Linked DNA regions of Macaca fascicularis. The protein of the gene in region 1 interacts with the protein of each later gene in a pairwise test. Links are inferred from orthologs where the notes say so. Each region holds a gene or a part of one and is shown on either strand. Other genes may lie near its edges.

What was found. The genes of interacting proteins can lie anywhere in the genome.
Region 2: the proteins of FHL3 (region 1) and SAP30BP interact in binary tests that used the Homo sapiens proteins (3 or more experiments, as listed by UniProt). The two-hybrid records come from large-scale screens. The link is inferred for Macaca fascicularis from reciprocal best matches to the Homo sapiens genes FHL3 and SAP30BP.
Region 3: the proteins of FHL3 (region 1) and HIPK1 interact in binary tests that used the Homo sapiens proteins (3 or more experiments, as listed by UniProt). The two-hybrid records come from large-scale screens. The link is inferred for Macaca fascicularis from reciprocal best matches to the Homo sapiens genes FHL3 and HIPK1.

The regions. Positions count from the first base shown.
Region 1 is NC_088375.1:196,914,381-196,921,847, reverse strand, and holds the end of FHL3 (four and a half LIM domains protein 3), read right to left. Parts: intron 5,369-7,467; 5' UTR 5,349-5,368; coding exon 5,193-5,348; intron 5,085-5,192; coding exon 4,910-5,084; intron 4,073-4,909; coding exon 3,903-4,072; intron 3,811-3,902; coding exon 3,624-3,810; intron 3,500-3,623; coding exon 3,345-3,499; 3' UTR 2,705-3,344; downstream 1-2,704. UniProt on the Homo sapiens protein: Recruited by SOX15 to FOXK1 promoters where it acts as a transcriptional coactivator of FOXK1.
Region 2 is NC_088390.1:82,106,658-82,113,920, forward strand, and holds part of SAP30BP (SAP30-binding protein), read left to right. Parts: intron 1-1,182; coding exon 1,183-1,274; intron 1,275-2,007; coding exon 2,008-2,068; intron 2,069-2,521; coding exon 2,522-2,573; intron 2,574-3,479; coding exon 3,480-3,538; intron 3,539-4,293; coding exon 4,294-4,374; intron 4,375-4,687; coding exon 4,688-4,772; intron 4,773-5,041; coding exon 5,042-5,223; 3' UTR 5,224-7,263. UniProt on the Homo sapiens protein: Plays a role in transcriptional repression by promoting histone deacetylase activity, leading to deacetylation of histone H3.
Region 3 is NC_088375.1:120,389,967-120,396,845, reverse strand, and holds part of HIPK1 (homeodomain-interacting protein kinase 1), read left to right. Parts: intron 1-1,075; coding exon 1,076-1,206; intron 1,207-2,261; coding exon 2,262-2,750; 3' UTR 2,751-6,879.

The DNA of each region.
Region 1 (7,467 bases):
AAAAAATTGTCAATTAAACAATGACACATCTTTGATTATACGTCTGGGTTTCTTCTTTTTTTAAGATGGAGTTTTGCTCTTGTCCCCCAGGCTGGAGTGCAGTGGCGCAATCTTGGCTCACTGCAACTTCCACCTCCGGATTCAAGTAATTCTCCTGCCTCAACCTCTGGAGTAGCTGGGATTACAGGTGCCCACCACCACACCCAGCTAATTTTTGTATTTTTAGAAGAGGTGGGGCTTCATCATGTTATCCAGGTTGGTCTCAAACTCCTGACCTCAGGTGATCCACCCGCCTCGGCCCCCCAAAGTGCTGGGAGGCGTGAGCCACTGCGCCTGGCCTTGATTATATGTCTGGGTTTCTAAGATGTTAAGTCTGAAAAATGTTTGTATTGAAATAAATCAAACAGTTTCGTGGCTGTACATCTCTTACTTCCCGTGAGGTGGGTGGACTGCCTTACCACCACCATCCTCCAGTCACTCTGTCTCAAACCTGATGCCTTTCTGCCCCTAAATGTTTCTCCATCCCCACTCCAGGCAGTAAGTCTTGCCTTTTCCATTCGAGCTGCTACCTGCTGCAAGCTGTCTCACCTGGACCACTAAACTGGCCTCCAAACCAGCCTGCTCATCTTACCCCTCCACTCCATTATTCATGCTGCAGCCAGCATGATCTTTCTACAACTCCGCTCACCCCAGGCCCCTGCTTAAACAGTTCCATAGGCTGCATTTCCTGCAGGGTGAGGTCTGTGCAACTTGGCATTCAGCTTTTAAGGACCTGGGCTCTGCCTGCCATTTTACTCTCCTGGCACTTCCTCCAAATGGAATTACTTGCTACTTCCCCAAAGCACCGTATGTTCTCAGACCTCCAGGCCTTTGCACCAGTTGTTTTCTATGCTTGGACTGCTCTTCCTCAACAAGTATTTATTGAACACATAGTAAGTGCCAGGAGCTGAGAACGAGGCGGGTGCAAGGCAGGCAGGATCTCAGTCCTTATTTAGGCTGGTGGGAGAGAGAAACAAAACCGTAAGCCTATATGGTAATTATTAAGTATAAACACACGTGGTAGGCATTCATAAAGGTTTCCTGAAAATGTCGGGGAGGGTGGGGCGCAGTGGCTCACGCCTGTAATCCCAGCACTTTGGGAGCCCGAGGTGGGCGGATCACTTGAGGTCGGGAGTTCGAGACTAGCCTGACCAACATGGAGAAACCCTGTCTCTACTAAAAATGTTTACAAAAACAACCCTGGGTCGGGCGTGGTGGCTCACGCCTATAATTCCAGCACTTTGGGAGGCCAAGGCGGGTGGATCACTTAAGCTCAGGAGTTGCAGACCCGCCTGGCCAACATGATGAAACCCCATCTACTAAAAATACAAAATTAGCAGCATTTGGTGGCACATGCCTGTAAATCCCGCTACTAGGGAGGCTGAGGCAGAAGAATTACTTGAACCTGGGAGACGGACGTTGCGGTGAGCCGAGATCGCGCCACTGCACTCCAGCCTGGGTGACAAGTGAGAAACTCCGACTCAAAAAACAAAAAAAAGAAAATGTCGGGGAGGGAACTTAGAGGGCGGGTCAATAGGTGCAGCAAACTGCCGTGCAGACGTATACCTATCTAACAAACCTGCACGTTCTGCACACGTGTCCTGGAACTTAAAGTAAAATTAAAAAAAAAAAGAAAGAAAAAGGAAAATGTCAACCACGGCTTCAGAAAGCGATTGGAGCCCAGGATCTACCAGTGACTACCTATGTGACTTGGGGCAGCTGACTGCGCGCGTCTCCACTTCTGTGTAATGGCAGTAATAATGCCCCCCCACAGGATTTCGGGGAGGATTTAATACGCGATACATACAATCTCGCGGTTTCCGCTGGGCCGGAGGGGCCCCCCTACTCCAGGGCGCCGAGGGTCCGCCTGCCCAGGGCCGGGCCCCGCCGCAGGCAGCTGTGGGCGCCACTGTGTGCGCGTACCTGCCCGGAGAGCCGGACTGCCAGGCCCAGACCGCGGACGCCAGGGTCTGGCACAAGGGGCATCGGACGCCAGGCGAGGGGAGCGTCGCCCCGCCCATCTCCCCACTTTGGGGGACAGCCCCCCTCGCTCATTCCCGCCTCCACCCTTGACTTGAATCACTGTTGGGGGGGGTGGGACGGGGCGTGACCCATTCATGCCGGGAATCGGATCCAGATGTTCCCGTGGCGTGTGCAGCTGCATCCTTGCCTTTTTTGGCAAAAAACGTGCGGTCGCGAGCGGATCCCGGGCCGCCCTCGTTAATCCTTGGGAAGAGGGGGAAGGGGGCTGAGAGGGTCTAGGCCCAGACTGGGGATCGGAACCGGGTCCTTGCTCTGCGGGCTTTGGGAAGGGCTGTTGGCGGAGGGGACTATTGGTACCAGCCAATTAAGGCACCCCATCGCCACCCTCGCTTTCGTCTGGAACCTCCCCCAAACCCCTCCCTTCCCTGCATGGAGGAAAAAGCCCTCTGCCAGCAGGGAGGCAGGCCGAGCTCCAGAGGGACGGTAGCCGTGGCGGGGATCCCCTTCATGGGGAGAGACTTCCCACCCCGTGGCCCGGCCCCCCTCCACCCCGCCCTGCAAGGACGAGGTCTAGAAGAGATTCTGAGCCTCCCAGTCTGCAAAAACCCTTCCTTCCCCTTTATACCCTGCGCGCGCACGCGCGCACACACACACACACAGAGGCACACACGGAGGCCCCTGCTTCCTCACACCGCTTTATTGCAGAATCTGGAAGGGGGGTGAGCCAATCTCACCCCTCTGCCCATCTATGGGCAAAATGGAGCTGAAATAAAATGAGAAGACACTCGGTGGCCACCAGCTGGGCAGCACCCTGTACCCTAGGGCCCCCTCATCGGTGGGCCCCTGATCGCTGTCCCCACAGCCTCAGCCCCGGGGGGATGGGGTGGGGCAGGTCAAGCTTGAGAACAGTCCACTTTTGAGGACTTCTCAGGCACCCATAGGAGACCTAAAACCTATAAAGAGAAGTCTAGATTTAAGGGGGCCTAAGTCCCAGAGCCCAGGTTTGGAGGGCTGGGGTCTAGAGCCCTGATTTGGGGAGAGGACTCAGTCTGGGAACCCAGACTGCAGGGGAGAGGGTGAGTTCTGGAGTCCAGGTGTGGGGAGGCAGCTTGACTCATGGAGGCTCTATAAGAGCCCAGGTTTGGGGGCCTGGGTCAGGGAGTACCAGTTTGGGGATGCTGGCGTGGAGAAACAATCCTGGAGCCCAGAGGGCGACCCATTTTTTTTGGTTGGGGGGTGGGGCTAAGTCCCAGAGGTGGTTTAGAAAAGGAGCTACAGTCCTGGGCCCGTGGTATGGGAAAGCCTGGGTCCAGGAGCCTGGCTCAGGGCCCTGCCTGGCTACAGCCCTGGCAGAGCACTTGGTCTCCATCCGGCACGAAGCCTTGGCCCACCAGGGAGGTAGAGCAGCGGGCGCAGGAGAAGCAGTTGTGGTGCCAGTGTCGGTCTTCAAAGGACACATACTTGCCTCCACCGAGTCCTGGAGGGAGGCTGGAAGTTAGCTCTGCAGATCTAGGGATGGTCCGGCCCTCAACTTCACCCAATACCACATCCCATTCCCTTGCCTGCACCCTACCCACTCCGTTCTTTGACCCTTGTCCCACCTACGATGGGGCGCTTGCAGCTGCTGCACTTAGGTGCAAAGAGTTCTCCAAAACAGGCCACACAGTAGGGATCTTCATCCCGGGAGGTGAACTGCTGCCCTGCCAGGGGCGTCTGGCAGCCGGTACAGACCAGACATTCTCGATGCCAGGGCTGATCACGGTATGTCACTCCACCCTGTGTCAGCGTCTGTGGGGGCAGCATTCATTAGTAGGTATGAGTGGGGATTCCCACCCCACGACAGGCCTTACTCACCCCCACCTGGCTGGCCCAGCCCCCACCTTGCTGCAGCGGGCGCAGCGAGGAGCAAACTTGTTCTCATAGCAGGGCACGCAGTAGTGAGCACCCTTGTCGGGCACAAAGGAACGGGAGCCCAGCGGCTGCTCACAGCCACTGCACAGGAAGCAGTGCTCATGCCATGTCTGGCCTCCGTACTCCAGCTTCCGGGACCCTGTGGGGAACAGGGGTCCCATTTAGAGGCTGTGTCCCATGCTCCTGAGGGCCACCCTCTGTAACTTCCCCGGGAGTCTCCACTCCTCTCGCAGCCTGAGCAGGGTGGTGTCCAGTGCACATGCAGCAAGAACCCCCCTGCCCCATGTACATTACACATGCTAACCTCTCCCCAGACACCGGACATGATGACCCAGCTAGACACGAGGATTTTGGCATATGTTAAGCCCCCATATGTCCCAGAAATGACAATTTCAGCACATATCGAGCCTCCATGTAACAGTCATGAAGTCTCACTATGAGCTAAGCCCTCATATAACAGATGTGATGATTTCAGCACTCACACGGGACCCCACATGTACCAGGCAAGTAAGTATATGCCCTAATGCCCTCGGCATGACAGGTTCAGTACATGCTAAGCCCTCGCATCTCCTTGGCACACCATTCTCCATAGGTACTGAGTCCCAACATTTCTATTAGGCATGCAGGTCCCCACACATGTTAAGCCCTCTGTTTACCTGCCTCTGCACACACTAAGACCCAATGCAATAAGCACGACAGTCTCAGCACACCTCTAGTTCCTACATGTACTAAACATGCAGATACTCACACATGCTAAGCCCCCAAGTATGTATCACATGTGTCAATCTGCCTGCACATAGTAACCCCCAGTATACCAGGCAAACAGATCCTGCATATACTAAATTTCCAGAAACATGCTGTGTGTGCAGGTCTTTACACAGACCAAGTCTCCATGTATCAGACAGACACATGCAAAGACCCTACGCAGATGCCAGGCATGCCAGTTCTTACACAAGATGAGCCCCTGAGGACATACCAGGCATGACAGTTTCCCCACAGGCGGAGCACTGCGAGGAAAACGCACTGCAGTAGCAGTCATTGCAGAGCAGCTCACTGTCCTGGCAGGTGAAGGGTTCATCGGCTAGTGAGCGCTGGCAGCGGCAGCAGCGGAAGCAGCCCTCGTGGAAATGGCGGTCTTCATAGAACAGCTCCTGTGGCGAACACAGCGGGGGCACTGGCACCCAGGCCTGGTGGATCCATCCTTTGCCCCCTTCCACTGGTCACCACCCACCTCCTGCCTGGCCTGGCCCTCTCCTTACCCTCGAGTCATGCCCGATAAGCTGCTGGCACTCGGCGCAGGTGTTGGCAAAGGTATTGTCATAGCAGGGCACACAGTAGGGGCCGCTGTCTGTCTGGATGTACTTGCGTCCATACAGGGACTCGCTGCATTTTGCACAGTCAAATGACTCGCTCATCGTGGCAAGGAGAGAGAACCCTGTTAGGAGCACAAGGTGGAACTGGGGTCACACAGAGAGGCTGTGACTTGGCTCCTGGCAAATAGGCCTCTGCATTCAAAACACAGAAACAGACCCGGCATAGGAAATGCCAGTTCAGAGTAGGTGGTGATGGGGAAGGGGTGCTTCCGGGAAACCAGGAGTCCCGCATGTTTCTTTCTGTATTTAACTGGGGATAGAAAGAGGTCAGAAAAAAAACCAGGAAGCAGAAGTTGTTTTCTTATCTAGGCCCTAGCAGATCTAGGGGGAGGGGGCTTTTCCTGGGTCGGTGACTCATTTCCTGCCTCAGCCAGCATTTAGCCTCCACTGTCCCGACTGTCCCCAGCGTGGGAGAAGCAGGGGCAGGGAGCCACCCCACTCTACTCCAGATGAGCAGTACTCCCACCCTCTCCTGACTCGGGACTTTAGGAATATGGATCAAGGAACCCTTACCCAGAGCTCTGGAGTACGGAACTTAAGAGATGGGAATGGGCTGTTCCTAGCCCCTCCTGATCCAAAAAACAGTGGAATGCTAGAGAGGTGCTGGACTGATGAATGGTGGAGGAGGCCAGTGTGAGAGGTTAGGCCTTCCCTCCCGGGGCATCAGCCAAAGAGGCTCAAGCAGGAAGGAAATCCTGCAGGCTGGACACAACCAGGCTTCCCCAGCTAGACCCTCTGCCCTCATCCCCCTACCCCCACTGTGTCTCTGGTCACACTGGCTTGGACAGCCTTGGCCTGCAACATCTGCAGCAGCTGTGGCAGCACAGATGGCCAGATGTCAGGTTTTGCCAGCAATGGGGAGAAAAAAGGAAAATGAAGTGTCGGGGGAGGCAGAGGGGAACTGGAGACAGACTGAGAGTGCAGTGTGCCCCCTGCCACCTCCTGCTAGCATCTGGCAAAACCCCAGTATCTTTCCATCCCCTGGGGTCATGATTTCCCTCCCACTGCCTCTGGGAGAGAAGGTCTCTCCCACCTTTTCTGATTTCTCAGGGTTTGGGACTAGGGAGCTGAAAGCAGAGACAGCAAGAGCCAGTGAAGACATTTTGTCCCCAGTCAGGCCCCATCTTGGGTGGGGAGTAGGACAAGGGGGAGCCCTGAGAGCTGCTGCTGGAGACACCCAGCCCCCGACCAAACCTCAGACACTTTCCATTTTCTCAGGAACAAAGCATGTTTGTGGGATGAGGTCATCCACACAGCTGCCTCTGGAACAGGAGCCTGGGGAGTAGAGCGGTAGGGAAGTGGGGTTCCCAAACCTTTCTGCTGCCCGATTCCAGTCACTAGCCCCAAAGTCAGAGCTCCCACCCCTGCTCTCTTCTATCATGAAGCCTGCTCTCTAAGAGCTGGGATACTGGGCTAGTGGAGAGGAACCACCAGGACCCATAGGAAGGAGATGTTCTCACAGCTGTGGATGAGCCCGGGGAAGTTACAGTGACACACAAAGGAATCCACCAACCCACTCTCCCACAAGGCCCCAGTGCTGGCAGTCACCAGGGCCTGCCCTGGCTCAAGCTGAAGGAAAAGTCCTCCTTTTCTCATCCACCCCCAGTGCGAAATTCTTGACAAAAAGCGCTGCTCTGGCTTGAAGTTCAGACTCCAGGCACCAGCAGACGCCCCCAGCTTGGAGGCCTGACTCTCCATACATCAAGCCTCTGTGCAATGGGAGAACAGCCAGCTCCCACTTCAGGCCAGGGTATGAGGCCACCAGGGGCCAGGGTCTTTAGAGCTGGAACTCCTGGGCTGGGGGCTACGGTGAAGGGTAGAGAAGATACTCTTCTTTCTCAGCCCCTTTCCTGCCACTCAGGCCCAGGTTTCCTCTGGCCCAACATCTGAGGATTGCCTGGGCTGTCAGCCACGGGGCAGCAGGGGGCCACACAGGTGGAATGTGTCCACGGGGGGTGCCTGGGCCTCTTCCTTCCTTCTTGGCTTGGCCCACTGCAGCTGCCACCTTCTCAGGCCCAGGCTAGCCTTGGGTCCACCCCCTGGGAGACAGTCAGCACTCAGAAACCAGGGTAACCCAAATAGGGTATGGGCATCGCTTCTATTTCCTTCCCAGAATCCCCCAATGCCCTAGTCTATCCAGCTGGACTCTGGTGAGGACAGA
Region 2 (7,263 bases), on another chromosome or scaffold:
CTCCCACTGAGAGCCAGGCATGACCTGTGGGGAATTTGGGTGAGAGAGAAGCAGTTAACCCTTGATACCCTCGATAAGCCAGCGCGGACCAGCCACCTGTGCGCCTCCCTGTAAAAGACACAATCTAAAAAGCTTGCAAGACCGAATCCAAACAACTACTCCTGCCTCCCATGAAAAGGCCATAGCCCTTCCGAAGTCTCCTGTGGTTCACAGTTCTGCTGAGGACTTGACCTCATGTTAAAATTTAAAACCAGGATTCATTCCCTGCATATCAACACCAGTACCCTACACCCTGCTTCGGATGATTCTGGAACTGATTAACCAATTGGGGCTTTGTTCATTTTTTTCTCCGTGGCTCCTCTGCTGTGATCTTTTCACTGCTCACTATATTGTCATCCAGAGAGTGTCAGGAAACCTCAGCAGTGAAAGCAGCCTGGTCTTGGTTTATGTTACTTGTGTGCAATTCTGGGCAAAAGGTAGGGTGGAAAAAGAGAATAGGTTAATTTTTTGTTTCGTGTTTTTGAGAGAGTCTCACTCTGTTACCAGGCTGGAGTGCAGTGGCATGATCTCAGCTCACTGCAATGTCCACCTCCCAGGTTCAAGCGATTCTCCTGCCTCAGCCTCCCAAGTAGCTGGGATTACAGGCGTGCCCCACCACACCCAGCTAATGTTGTTTGTGTTTTTAGTAGAGACGAGGTTTCATGTTGGCCAGGATGGTCTCAATCTCTAGACCTTGTGATCCACCCACCTTAGCCTCCCAAAGTGCTGGGATTACAGGCGTGAGCCACTGCGCCCGGCTGAGAATAGGTTAAATTCTCCGCCTTCTGGGTTCACGCCATTCTCCCGCCTCAGCCTCCCAAGTAGCTGGGACTACAGGTGCCTGCCACCATGCCTGGCTAATTTTCTGTGTTTTTAGTAGAGATGGGGTTTCACCGTGTTAGCCAGGATGTTCTCGATCTCCTGACCTCGTGATCCACCCGCCTTGGCCTCTCAAAGTGCTGGGATTACGGGCATGAGCCACCGCGCCCGGCCAAGAATAGGTTAAATTTTAACATGAGGTCAAGTTGGGCTTTGCGTGGCTCTGGAGCCTCACGTTCATGCTGCACACGTAGCTGGTGACCAGGGGCTGGGATGGTGGAGAGGTGGGCTTCTGTCATACACCCCTCTGCTCCTCTTCCATAGGACAAGATCCAGAAGCTTTATGAACGAAAAATAAAGGAGGGAATGGATATGAACTACATTATCCAAAGAAAGAAAGAATTTCGGAACCCCAGGTAAGTTTCTCTTGAACCTGCAGAGTTTATTGAGTTATTAATGTTGGATTAAGGACGTCCCCAAGGAGGTGGTGAGGAAAAGCCCTGAGCCCAAACCATCACCCAGACTTGTCATTACACTGAGTGCCTGCTGGACACGGCAGACTATGCTAACCCAGCCAGAGGCTTGCCATTTAAGATCCTGACAAAACACAAAGCAGTCCATACCGAGACCTAGACGGGGATGAGGGAGACCTGGCTGAGTTCTCGTCCCTGCTCTGAGCCTAAAGCACATGACCTCTCAAGACCCCTGTCCTCATGGAAGGAATTGGACTAGACAATTACTATAGGTTCATCTTTCAACTCTAAAAAGCTGATTTTTGCATATAGGTGAGAGGTCTTAGGACCAGAGCTATGTCTGGTCTTATTCCATTTAATGCTCAAGCTAGTGACTTACGGGGGAAAGAGCATGGCCCTTGTGTGGGCCTGAGTGTGGTGAGCCCAACCCAACCATGCAGACTGAAGGTCAGTGGGACAAAACTCAGCCATCACCTTGACCCCATGCTCCTCCCGGCCCTTAGTTAACAGGTCCATCTCCCTGGGAGGGTGTAGGGCCATCAGGAAGCTTGCTTAGAGCAGCTGAGCTGGATTTAAAGGTTTTGAAGGTTTTGTGTCAGCCCCAGGAGCTGGATGGTTCAGGCCCCAGGCAGGGACGTGGACTTGTGCCTGCTCAACGCCTGTGCTGTTTTTTCAGCATCTACGAGAAGCTGATCCAGTTCTGTGCCATTGACGAGCTTGGCACCAACTACCCAAAGGTACATCTGGCACACGGAGCTGGAGGGTGATGGGGACACCCGGGGTCCTGTGCTTGTTCCATGGGGTTTGACCTGCAGCCACAGAAGGGTCCATGTAGTGGCACCGCTAGTTGAAAGCACAGTCCCCATGTCTTGTGTTTGAGTCCCTATTGTTCTGAAATAGTCCAATAAAGAGATTCCAGTGGCCGACCTGGTGTCTGGCCCCTGACTGGTGGGGACATGTGTGGACCTGCTGCTCCTGGGGGTCACTGGATGGGGGCTTCATGCTCCCGTGTTCTTCAGCACTTGCCAGCTGCCCCTTGGCTAGAGACCAGGGATGACAGCCGAGCCCCAGGTAAGGGGACCCCAGACCAGGAAGCTCTGTGGAAAGACTCAGGCAAGGAACTTGGGTTTCTGAGTCATTTGTCATATGACGGTTCCTACTAACTGCAACTTTCGCCTTTTCCTTTGCAGGATATGTTTGATCCCCATGGCTGGTCTGAGGACTCCTACTATGAGGCATTAGGTAGCCTTTCATCCCTCCTCCCATATACCTCGTCCGCCCACCCAACTGTCCCTTTATCCAGTCAGTTGGTTATCCAGGCAACACGTATTTCAGGGTCTCCTTTACGTCAGGCCATGTTCAAGGGGCTGGGTACAGGCCTGAATGAGACAGACCCACCCCTGCCTTAAGAGGCTTATGCCACAGCAAAGAAGATGCCAGTAATGCATCACGCCAGTAATGCCAGCATCGATGAAGTGTTGGTGATGACAGAGTTGCTGGGTACAGGGGAGCTTTGGCAAGCAGGGTCATCTAATCTGGCCAAAGGGATGGGAAGGTCTCACTGACAAAACTGTGTTCCAGCTGAGGTTTGAAGAGGCAGAGGGGCCAGGCAGGTGCAGGCAGAATGTTCCGAGGCCAGTGAGAGGGTGGCTTATTCTTAAGGTACCAGTTTGGGAGAACTGGGAGGAATGTCAAAGGGCCCAACCCCTAGACCATAGGTCTTGAGCCTGTAGCCCATGGCCCAGATCTTGGCCTGTAGAGGTGCTTTGTTTGGCCTTCATGAATGTTACTGTCTTTTATTTTGAATTCATTGCCAACATTTTACATAATAATCTCTGATTCCAGCTTCTCTCAGTCAGTAGCAAGGTAGTCCCCATTGGGCCTGTATTTCCGTGTGCGGCAGTCCACAGGAGCTCAGGAGTAGCTGACCCTTCCAGACACAGACACGGGGCATGCAGCCCTCCAGTCTGGAGCTGAAGGCCCCTGCCCTACGCCAAGCAAGGGCTGGCTTCATTTTGCCTAGCACGAAGAACACTGAGCCCATGAAGACCTTTAGCCCACTGAAAAGAACGCAGGGATCAGAGTCGGCTCCCTCAGCCCAGAGCTGCTCAGGGGCCGCCTTTGTAACAGCTTCTCTTGTCTTCATAGCCAAGGCCCAGAAGATTGAGATGGACAAATTGGAAAAGGCCAAAAAGGAGCGAACGAAAGTAAGTGATGGCAGACCTCCTAGATGGAAAAGGCAGATGTGAAGTGCATGGGTCCTGCTGGCTGAGCCCAGAGGTTGTCCAGGCTGCCCCCCGCCCTGGCCCCATGTCAGGGCACAGGCCCTGCTCTGGGTTTGCGGTGCTCGCCTGCTGCCTTGCCCTTGGAGTCTTGCTTGCTGCGTTGTGACCCCCTTCCTCCCCTCAATTGCAGAACCTTGGGAGGCTTTGTCTATTTTGGGTCGTGGGTGCCCTCTGTGGCCTGAAGGGAGGGAAGTAATTCCCTAAGAGAGTGCCGGGCCCAGCTTGCTCTGCTCAGTGAGTTTCTTGGCCTCCAGAGCTGCCCTCGGTGGCCCGCCTGGTTGCTACCTATTAGGTCCCATGTTAGGGCCCTGAGCGCCACTTGTTCCCCAGCAGTGTGGTCTGGGTTCTTCAGGGAGCATCAGTTTGGCTGTGAGACCAAAGTGTTATCTCTGGGCCTTGTTCCCTTTGTGACCAGTCTCGGAGCCAGGCATCAGGACACCAGCTCCTCCCACGTCTGGCTCGGCCTGACCATCCTCAAGTAGCTGCGGCCTCCAGACTGCTTCCCTCACCCCAGGCAGAGGGGCTCTGGGGCCTGGGCATGCTGGTGGCCCTCTGGAGTCACTGGCTGCTGGGCCAGGAACGTGGGAGCTGGTGCAAGGGGATAATCGGGGTTTCTCATTCTTAACCCTTGATTGAATCTCCCTTCTCTCTCTTTCCCTCTCCCTTCCAAACCCCAGGCTTGTTGCAGGGACGTGTCTGCAGCGCCTGGGGACCGGAGCTGTCCTTCCCCTGTGCGGGCGGGCGCCGCCTCCTCCTGGGTGTGAGGAGGAGGGGCCTGGCCAAACGGTTCTGGGCATGTGAGGTGGGGCGGTGGGCCGGGGGTGCCGGGCATGTGCAGAGACCTGGTGATGCCGGGAGGGATCCAGTACTGTTTGGAAAGTTCTTTTAAGAGCGAAAAGCCCCTTTGGGTTCTTAGACACCTCACCCTCCCCCAGATGGTCAGAGCAGAGTTCATTTCCAATACCTCTTTTGTGTAGTGCCAAGCTCCTGTCCCCCAGGAGCTGACGGATGGCAAAAGGCTATGGACACCCAGCTTTGCCCAGCCTCATTCTCTTCCCTCTCCCTCTCCAGATTGAGTTTGTGACGGGCACCAAGAAAGGCACCACGACCAACGCCACGGCCACCACCACTACCACTGCCAGCACAGCTGTTGCAGGTAGATTGCAGAGCTGCCCTGCCTCCCTGCCTCCTGCCATACACACGGAGCCAGTGTCTCCCTGGCTAGTTTGGGCAACAGACAACACGTGGATCTAGGCCTAGGCTCAGCCTTGCTCTTTTCTAAGCAGGGACTTTGAGAACCAGCTTTGGAGTCTTGGGGGGGCCCCTTCGGTTTCTGCTCCCTAGGCCCGTGCTGGCCTGCAGGGGAAGGGAAGGAGAGCGCTGCTCATTAGTGGATCGCGATCCTGACTTCTGCTTTATCTCCAGATGCTCAGAAGAGAAAGAGCAAGTGGGACTCGGCTATCCCAGTGACGACGATAGCCCAGCCCACCATCCTCACCACTACAGCCACCCTGCCAGCTGTCGTCACGGTCACCACCAGCGCCAGCGGCTCCAAGACCACCGTCATCTCTGCTGTGGGCACCATTGTGAAGAAGGCCAAGCAGTGACCTGAGGGGCCACCCTAGGACTCGAAAGGACTGTGCAGCCCAGTGACCACTGCCCAGTGGGAGGCGCCACTTTGTATATTTCAGGATTGGGACCTGCTCCCCTGATGCCACCTGAGAGGAGCTTCTATGTGGCATTCCAGACAGAAGGACAGGCAGCACAGGAGCCAGGTGCTGTGGACAGGGTCTGTCCACGCACCACCTGGGGTCTGCCGCCCATTAAAAGTGCCATTTTCTTACCTCTTGGCATCTCAGATGCACTGGCCTCTCCTGCATTCTGTTTGCAGGCAAATGCTTCAGCTCACACGTCCCCCCATCTTGGTTGGGACTGCTGCCTCAGGGTTGACGATAGGGTGATGGAGGCCTGGGACGCCGTTCAGAGGGGTAGCCCAAGAAGTCACCGTTGTTACCCGTGTACGCCTCTGGACATGGACAGGCGGGACCCCCCCAAGCTCCACGTTCGCTCCATGTGCCGCCTGGATCCCAAAACCCAGCCAGTTCTTGGGTGATGGTGGAGCTGTGCTCCCTTGGGTGCATTTGAGCACTCCCCAGTCCAGATCACTTCTTGGACACACCCAGGCTTTTGAAGTCAAGCCAGTTTCCAGAAGGGCTGGGGTGAGATCCTGACCTGTGCAGGGAGTAGGGAGGCGTCAGCGCCTGGCCAGGGCTGCCCCAGTCCCTCGGTGCCCCGTGAGCGCAGCCAGCCAGGAGCTGAGCAGCGGGGGCAGATGAATCACCTCCTGCCCTGGCCAGGCGGCAGCTCATTGTTTACGGGCAAGCCCTGCTCCTGGGAGGGCTCCTGCCACCCCACCCTTCCTGTGCGTGTTATCTCTGCCCCACAGCAGCCCCTGGGCAGCGCCAGTGGCCACTGGGCTCCCCCCGGGGCTGAAACGGGTTTCCCAGACCGGGAGTCCAGAGGAGACTGTTTACCCTTCGTGACCTTTGGCGACTCTCCACTGGAGCGGAAGAGCTGTGTGTCAAAAGAAGGAAGCCGGGCTGTGAAGGGCCGTGTTGCTTTCAGTCGGTGGGCAGAGGTTTAGAAAGGTGGTTCTGAAACTGCACCTGGTACTCTTGTGGGACCTGAGGAATATAAGGAACTCTGTGCATGAGGTTTCAAAAATAAAAATTGAGTCCACTCCCCCCATACACACACTCGGCCACTTCAGCAGGTCAGGTCTCAGCACTTCCTTGATGGGGCTTTGAAGCTCTGGGGAGCAGAGCCGCTCCCCACTCATGCCCCAGAGGGGCTCTGAAAAGGCTTCCTGTGGCCTCCGACAGGGGCCCCTCATTAGCCAAGGACGCTGTGGGTGTTTTGTGGGAGGCACCGTGGCGCTGCGGAAAGGGCAGTGGACGTGGAGCCGGCACCTCTGGCCAGATTCTGTTAAAACCAGTTGAGTGGTCTCAAACCCTTACCTCTGTAAGCCTGTTTCTTGTCTGAAAATCACGGTCATAAAGCGTCGTAAGTTGGTTGGGAGGAACCAGAGGTGACTTACGCAAAAGCTTTATAAACTGTAAAGTTCCTGCCAGTGTTTGTTGTTGGCTAAATCCAATTTTGTTTTGTTGTAGACCGAGGAGAGAAGCAAACTGGCCTGTTCCCCGTCTCATGCTCTGTCAGGGAGGATGGGGTTTGGCAGGTCTTTCCCCTACCCGCTTTCCTCTGGGCAGCCCCGGCCCTGCCATTTATCTGTTCAGTTAAAGCAGTAATGACTGTCTCTTGCGGGGCCCCAGAGGTGGGGGGCCTGGAGAGTGAACACAGGCTGAGAGTTGGGCAGCCGCAGGCAAAACTGCTGCCCCACTTAGCTTCGTGAGTTGGGTCAAGGTTTCTAATCCTTCTGGACTTTCATTTCCTCTTCTCTAAAATGGTGCTTGCCCACCTTAGTCCCATCAGGGATGGCCCAGAGGTGTGTGAACAGTTCCTGTTGTGGGTGGATGGCCCAGGCACTAGGGGCCAAAGTTGTTTCTGACCAGTGTGTGTCTGCTCACCAGAGAACAGTGTCCAAACTGAGCTCTGTCCACGGCTCCTACTGTCCCCCACTCACACAC
Region 3 (6,879 bases), about 77 Mb from region 1:
ATAGCATAACATAGTACAAATTTACTTCTCTCTCATATAACTTCTTGGTACAAGTGTTTGATTCCTGAGCATCCAGTCAGAAGGAGAAAGTTTGAAGGAGGCACACACATGTTTTAATCTCTTTAGCCTGGATATAAGTGGAAATAGTGAATACTTCTCACATGGCCCCACCTAGATGCAAGTGAGCCAGGCAATGTAGTCTTGTCAAGGTAGCTGCTTTTCAGTGACAACTTCATACCAAGAAAGGGGTTGGTGAAGTTTAGGTATCAACATAAACCTGGGCCATACCTGTAAAAATTATGTTTTATTGTGTATTATCTTACTGCCATAGACGTAAACAGGGTTATAATTTGAGGGTATTGTGTTACGCCTCTGTGTGATTCTTTTCAGAAGTAGACAGTTGTCCCATTGCAGACAAGGGAGAGAGCTTCCTGATGCCAGGCTACTGAACAGAATTATTAGGACCTCCATGCGCTCTTGGGTCCAGAGAATATAGGCTATCACATGAAACACTGAATAGATGCTCTGGTTTTCCTAATGGGAACACAGAAGCAAGCAAAATTTCACATTCAGCTGTCCTGTAATTTCTTAGAATTTGAAGCCAGTTAAGTGCCCAAGATATAAGTTTGCCTTTTTTTAAACCCTCTTGACACTTTAATATCCTAAGAATTACCAATAGCTTTCTCAGCTTCATATTGTCATTTCTGTGCTTGTTTAATCCCTTCCTACATAAAACTATAAACTCTTAGAGAGAGGGACGGTGTCTTAGCATATTTGTATTTCCAGTCCTTCCTTGTATATAACAATATTATATTATTGTATATAATCAATATTATAATATTTATAATATTGATTTAAGTGAACAAATCTCCTATGTGGAGATTTGTGCCAAGACAGAAAAGAAATGGGTGATACAGGTTATTTTCTTCTGGGGTAAATAGAATTGAGGAATTAAGACATACATGAGACCTTAACGCTTGCAAACTGCATACAAATGTGGACTAATTAATATGATGCCATCTGAGGTTAGCTCAGTGATGTCTACTCATAACTATTAAGCTTGATGCTTTTTTAGGTCTCCTGAGCAATAAGACCAAGCCAGTAGCTTCAGTGAGTGGGCAGTCATCTGGATGCTGTATCACCCCCACAGGGTATCGAGCTCAACGCGGGGGGACCGGTGCAGCACAGCCACTCAACCTTAGCCAGGTAAGCGCTACGGGCTACTGCCTTCTCTTTGGGCCTTGCACTGTTGTTACTTTCTGGAGAACCCTGCTTCTGGCTGGATGCTGAATAAAGCCAAATGAAGCCCCTTTTGTGTCAAACAATTTTGTGTTCTATGGCTTACGTCGTACCGCATGTGCTGCATCTCATCATTCACTTTTTGTGTTTGGGATGTACATTCTAGGTTTTCCATCAAACCTCCCTAAGTCTACCATGGAAGGTTAGAGAAACGTCTGGGATTTAGAAAGAGCGTGGGAAGTTTAACCATGTCAGTGATAGGCGTATGCTTTGAGACCAGATTCTCTTTATCCCTCAGGCCATAAGTAAGCTGATCCTTACCTTGTTTACTTGAGTCAAGAGACTGAAAAGCTCACTGGCCACCAAATTCAACTGGTTCTAGGTCCTGCTTGTTGCTGAAGTCTGGGATTTGGGACTTCCCCACTCTCCGAACATCCCCTGCCCCAACCCACCCTTCTACTTCTCTCATTACTTTATTTGTGTTCATTCTTGGAGGCTAAAATTCAAGTGCTTGTATGATGTCCACCAGTAGTGAGAAAGTTCAATATGAGAGAGAGAGTGTGAGAGCACATGCAAGTGAAAATGTAAGTTTGAGTTAGTGTATATATTTTAGGCTCCACATTTCAAGAGGGGTATGAAGAACTTAGAGGAGAAGAACAAAAGAAAGCAATGGTAAGAAATAAAGGTTAGGAAAAATTCAAATTTACTGATGCCAGAATAGGGTGAGTTGAGTCACCAGTTATTAAATTGCAGGAGTGGGGAACCCTGTGATCTCTTGATTCTCCCTCTTCCTGTCATACTTATAAGCAAACTGCTGTTACCTGAGCCAGGTTAGGATCTATCTTGCTAAGAGGCAGAGGGAGGGGTGGCTGATTTCTGACAGCATTCAATGCCAGTCTGGGAGATTATGTGTTATATACCCATTCGGAAACAGTACAAGTCAGGACCTGAGCTCTTAACTTGGCCTTTCGTGCCCTGAACCAGAGTGACCTCAAGATTCCTCACTTCCTTCTTTCTTCCAGAACCAGCAGTCATCGGCGGCTCCAACCTCGCAGGAGAGAAGCAGCAACCCAGCCCCCCGCAGGCAGCAGGCGTTTGTGGCCCCTCTCTCCCAAGCCCCCTACACCTTCCAGCACGGCAGCCCACTACACTCGACGGGGCACCCACACCTTGCCCCAGCCCCTGCTCACCTGCCAAGCCAGGCTCATCTGTATACGTATGCTGCCCCCACTTCTGCTGCTGCACTGGGCTCAACCAGCTCCATTGCTCATCTTTTCTCCCCACAGGGTTCCTCAAGGCATGCTGCAGCCTATACCACTCACCCTAGCACTTTGGTGCACCAGGTCCCTGTCAGTGTTGGGCCCAGCCTCCTCACTTCTGCCAGCGTGGCCCCTGCTCAGTACCAACACCAGTTTGCCACTCAGTCGTACATTGGGTCTTCCCGAGGCTCAACAATTTACACTGGATACCCGCTGAGTCCTACCAAGATCAGCCAGTATTCCTACTTATAGTTGGTGAGCATGAGGGAGGAGGAGTCATGGCTACCTTCTTCTGGCCCTGAGTTCTTAATATTGGGCTATGGTGAGATCCTCCTTTACCCTCTTGAAACTTCTTAGCCAGCAACTTGTTCTGCAGGGGCCCACTGAAGCAGAAAGTTTTTCTCTGGGGGAACCTGTCTCAGTGTTGACTGCATTGTTGTAGTCTCCCAAAGTTTGCCCTATTTTTAAATTCTTTATTTTTGTGACAGCAATTTTGGTACTTGGAAGAGTTCAGATGCCCATCTTCTGCAGTTACCAAGGAAGAGAGATTGTTGTGAAGTTACCCTCTGAAAAATATTTTGTCTCTCTGACTTGATTTCTATAAATGCTTTTAAAAACAAGTGAAGCCCCTCTTTATTTCATTTTGTGTTATTGTGATTGCTGGTTAGGAAAAATGCTGATAGAAGGAGTTGAAATCTGATGACAAGAAAAGAAAAATCATTACTTTTTGTTTGTTTATAAACTCAGACTTACTTGCCTATTTTATTTTAAAAGCAGCTTACACAAGTCTGTGTTTTTACTATCAGGCATTTCTCCTCAAAATCTCATCTTCGTTTATTGGACATTTAAACTTACAGAGTTTCAGTTTTGTTTTAATGTCATATTATACTTAATGGGTAATTGTTATTTTTGCAAAACTGGTTACGTATTACTCTATGTTACTATTGGGATTCTCTCAATTGCTCCTGTGTGTGTTATAAAGTAGTGTTTAAAAGGCAGCTCACCATTTGCTGGTAACTTAATGTGAGAGAATCCATATCTATGTGAAAACACCAAGTATTCTTTTTAAATGAAGCACCATGAATTCTTTTTTAAATTATTTTTTAAAAGTCTTTCTCTCTCTGATTCAGCTTAAATTTTTTTATTGTAAAAGCCATTAAGGTGGTTATTATTATATGGTGGTGGTTGTTTTATTATATGCAAAATCTCTGTCTCTTATGAGATACTGGCATTGATGAGCTTTGCCTAAAGATTAGTATGAATTTTCAATATTACACCTCTGTGTTTTGCTCATCTCTCCCTTCTGTTTTATGTGATTTGTTTGGGGAGAAAGCTAAAAAAACCTGAAACCAGATAAGAACATTTCTTGTGTATAGCTTTTATACTTTAAAGTAGCTTCCTTTGTATGCCAGCAGCAAATTGAATGCTCTCTTATTAAGACTTATACAATAAGTGCATGTAGGAATTGCAAAAAATATTTTAAAAATTTATTACTGAATTTAAAAATATTTTAGAAGTTTTGTAATGGTGGTGTTTTAATATTTTACATAATTAAATATGTACATATTGATTAGAAAAATATAACAAGCAATTTTTCCTGCTAACCCAAAATGTTATTTGTAATCAAATGTGTAGTGATTACACTTGAATTGTGTACTTAGTGTGTATGTGATCCTCCAGTGTTATCCGGGAGATGGATTGATGTCCCCGTTGTATTTAAACCAAAATGAACTGATACTTGTTGGAATGTATGTGAACTAATTGCAAGTATATTAGAGCATATTACTGTAGTGCTGAATGAGCAGGGGCATTGCCTGCAAGGAGAGGAGACCCTTGGAATTGTTTTGCACAGGTGTGTCTGGTGAGGAGTTTTTCAGTGTGTGTCTCTTCCTTCCCTTTCTCCTTCCTTCCCTTATTGTAGTGCCTTATATGATAATGTAGTGGTTAATAGAGTTTACAGTGAGCTTGCCTTAGGATGGACCAGCAAGCCCCCGGGGACCCTAAGTTGTTCACGGGATTTATCAGAACAGGATTAGTAGCTGTGTTGTGTAAATGCATCGTTCTCAGTTTCCCTGCCAACATTGAAAAATAAAAACAGCAGCTTTTCTCCTTTACCACCACCTCTACCCCTTTCCATTTTGGATTCTCAGCTGAGTTCTCACAGAAGCATTTTCCCCATGTGGCTCTCTCACTGTGCATTGCTACCTTGCTTCTGTGAGAATTCAGGAAGCAGGTGAGAGGAGTCAAGCCAATATTAAATATGCATTCTTTTAAAGTATGTGCAATCACTTTTAGAATGAATTTTTTTTTCCTTTTCCCATGTGGCAGTCCTTCCTGCAAATAGTTGACATTCCTAGTAAAATATTTGCTTGTTGAAAAAACATATAACAGATGAGTTTATACCAAAGAGCCTATTGTATTGCTTACCATGTCCCCACACTATGAGGAGGAGTTTTATGGTGCCGCTGGTGACAAGGAGCTCACAGAAAGGTTTCTTAGCTGGTGAAGAATATAGAGAAGGAACCAAAGCCTGTTGAGTCATTGAGGCTTTTGAGGTTTCTTTTTTAACAGCTTGTAGAGTCTTGGGGCCCTTCAAGCTGTGAAATTGTCCTGGTACTCTCAGCTCCTGCACGGATCTGGGTCAAGTAGAAGGTACTGGGGATGGGGACATTCCTGCCCATAAAGGATTTGGGGAAAGAAGGTTAATCCTAAAATACAGGTGTGTTCCATCTGAATTGAAAATGATATATTTGAGATATAATTTTAGGACTGGTTCTATGTAGATAGAGATGGTGTCAAGGAGGTGCAGGATGGAGATGGGAGATTTCATAGAGCCTGGTCAGCCAGCTCTGTACCAGGTTGAACACCGAGGAGCTGTCAAAGTATTTGGAGTTTCTTCATTGTAAGGAGTAAGGGCTTCCAAGATGGGGCAGGTAGTCAGTACAGCCTACCAGGAACATGTTGTGTTTTCTTTATTTTTAAAAATCATTATATTGAGTTGTGTTTTCAGCACTATATTGGTCAAGATAGCCAAGCAGTTTGTATAATTTCTGTCACTAGTGTCATACAGTTTTCTGGTCAACATGTGTGATCTTTGTGTCTCCTTTTTGCCAAGCACATTCTGATTTTCTTGTTGGAACACAGGTCTGGTTTCTAAAGGACAAATTTTTTTGTTCCTTGTCTTTTTTCTATAAGGGACAAGATTTGTTGTTTTTGTAAGAAATGAGATGCAGGAAACAAAACCAAACCACATTCCTTCCCCTAGTCCAATAAGCAGATACCACTTAAGATAGGAGTCTAAACTCCACAGAAAAGGATAATACCAAGAGCTTGTATTGTTACGTTAATCACTTGACTAGCAGTGTGTGGCTTTAAAAACTTTAGAGATTTTTCAGTCTTAGTGTGCAAACTGGCATTTCCGATTTTCCAACATAAAAATCCACCTGTGTCTACTGAATGTGTATGTATGTGCTCAATGTGGCTTTAGATTCTGTCCCTGGGGCTTAACATTGTTGGCCCTGACAGGAAGGGAGGAAGCCCGGTGAATTTAGTGAGCAGCTGGCCTGGGTCACAGTGACCTGACCTCAAACCAGCTTAAGGCTTTAAGTCCTCTCTCTGAACTTGCATTTCCAGCTTCTTCCTTTCCAGGTGAGAGAAGAAGCGGGGAAGGGTTCATTGTAGCCACTCTGGGTTCATAGGGACACTTGGTCACTCCAGAGTTTTTAATAGCTCCCAGGAGGTGATATTATTTTCAGTGCTCAGCTGAAATACCAACCCCAGGAATAAGAACTCCGTTTCAAACAGTTCTGGCCATTCTGAGCCTGCTTTTGTGATTGCTCATCCATTGTCCTCCACTAGAGGGGCTAAGCTTGACTGCCCTTGGCCAGGCAAGCACAGTAATGTGTGTTTTATTCAGCATTATTATGCAAAAATTCACTAGTTGAGATGGTTTGTTTTAGGATAGGAAATGAAATTGCCTCTCAGTGACAGGAGTGGCCCGAGCCTGCTTCCTATTTTGATTTTTTTTTTTTTTAAACTGATAGATGGTGCAGCATGTCTACATGGTTGTTTGTTGCTAAACTTTATATAATGTGTGGTTTCAATTCAGCTTGAAAAATAATCTCACTACATGTAGCAGTACATTATATGTACATTATATGTAATGTTAGTATTTCTGCTTTGAATCCTTGATATTGCAATGGAATTCCTACTTTATTAAATGTATTTGATATGCTAGTTATTGTGTGTGATTTAAACTCTTTTTGCTTTCTCCCTTTTTTTGGTTGTGCGCTTTCTTTTACAACAAGCCTCTAGAAACAGATAGTTTCTGAGAATTACTGAGCTATGTTTGTAATGCAGATGTACTTAGGGAGTATGTAAA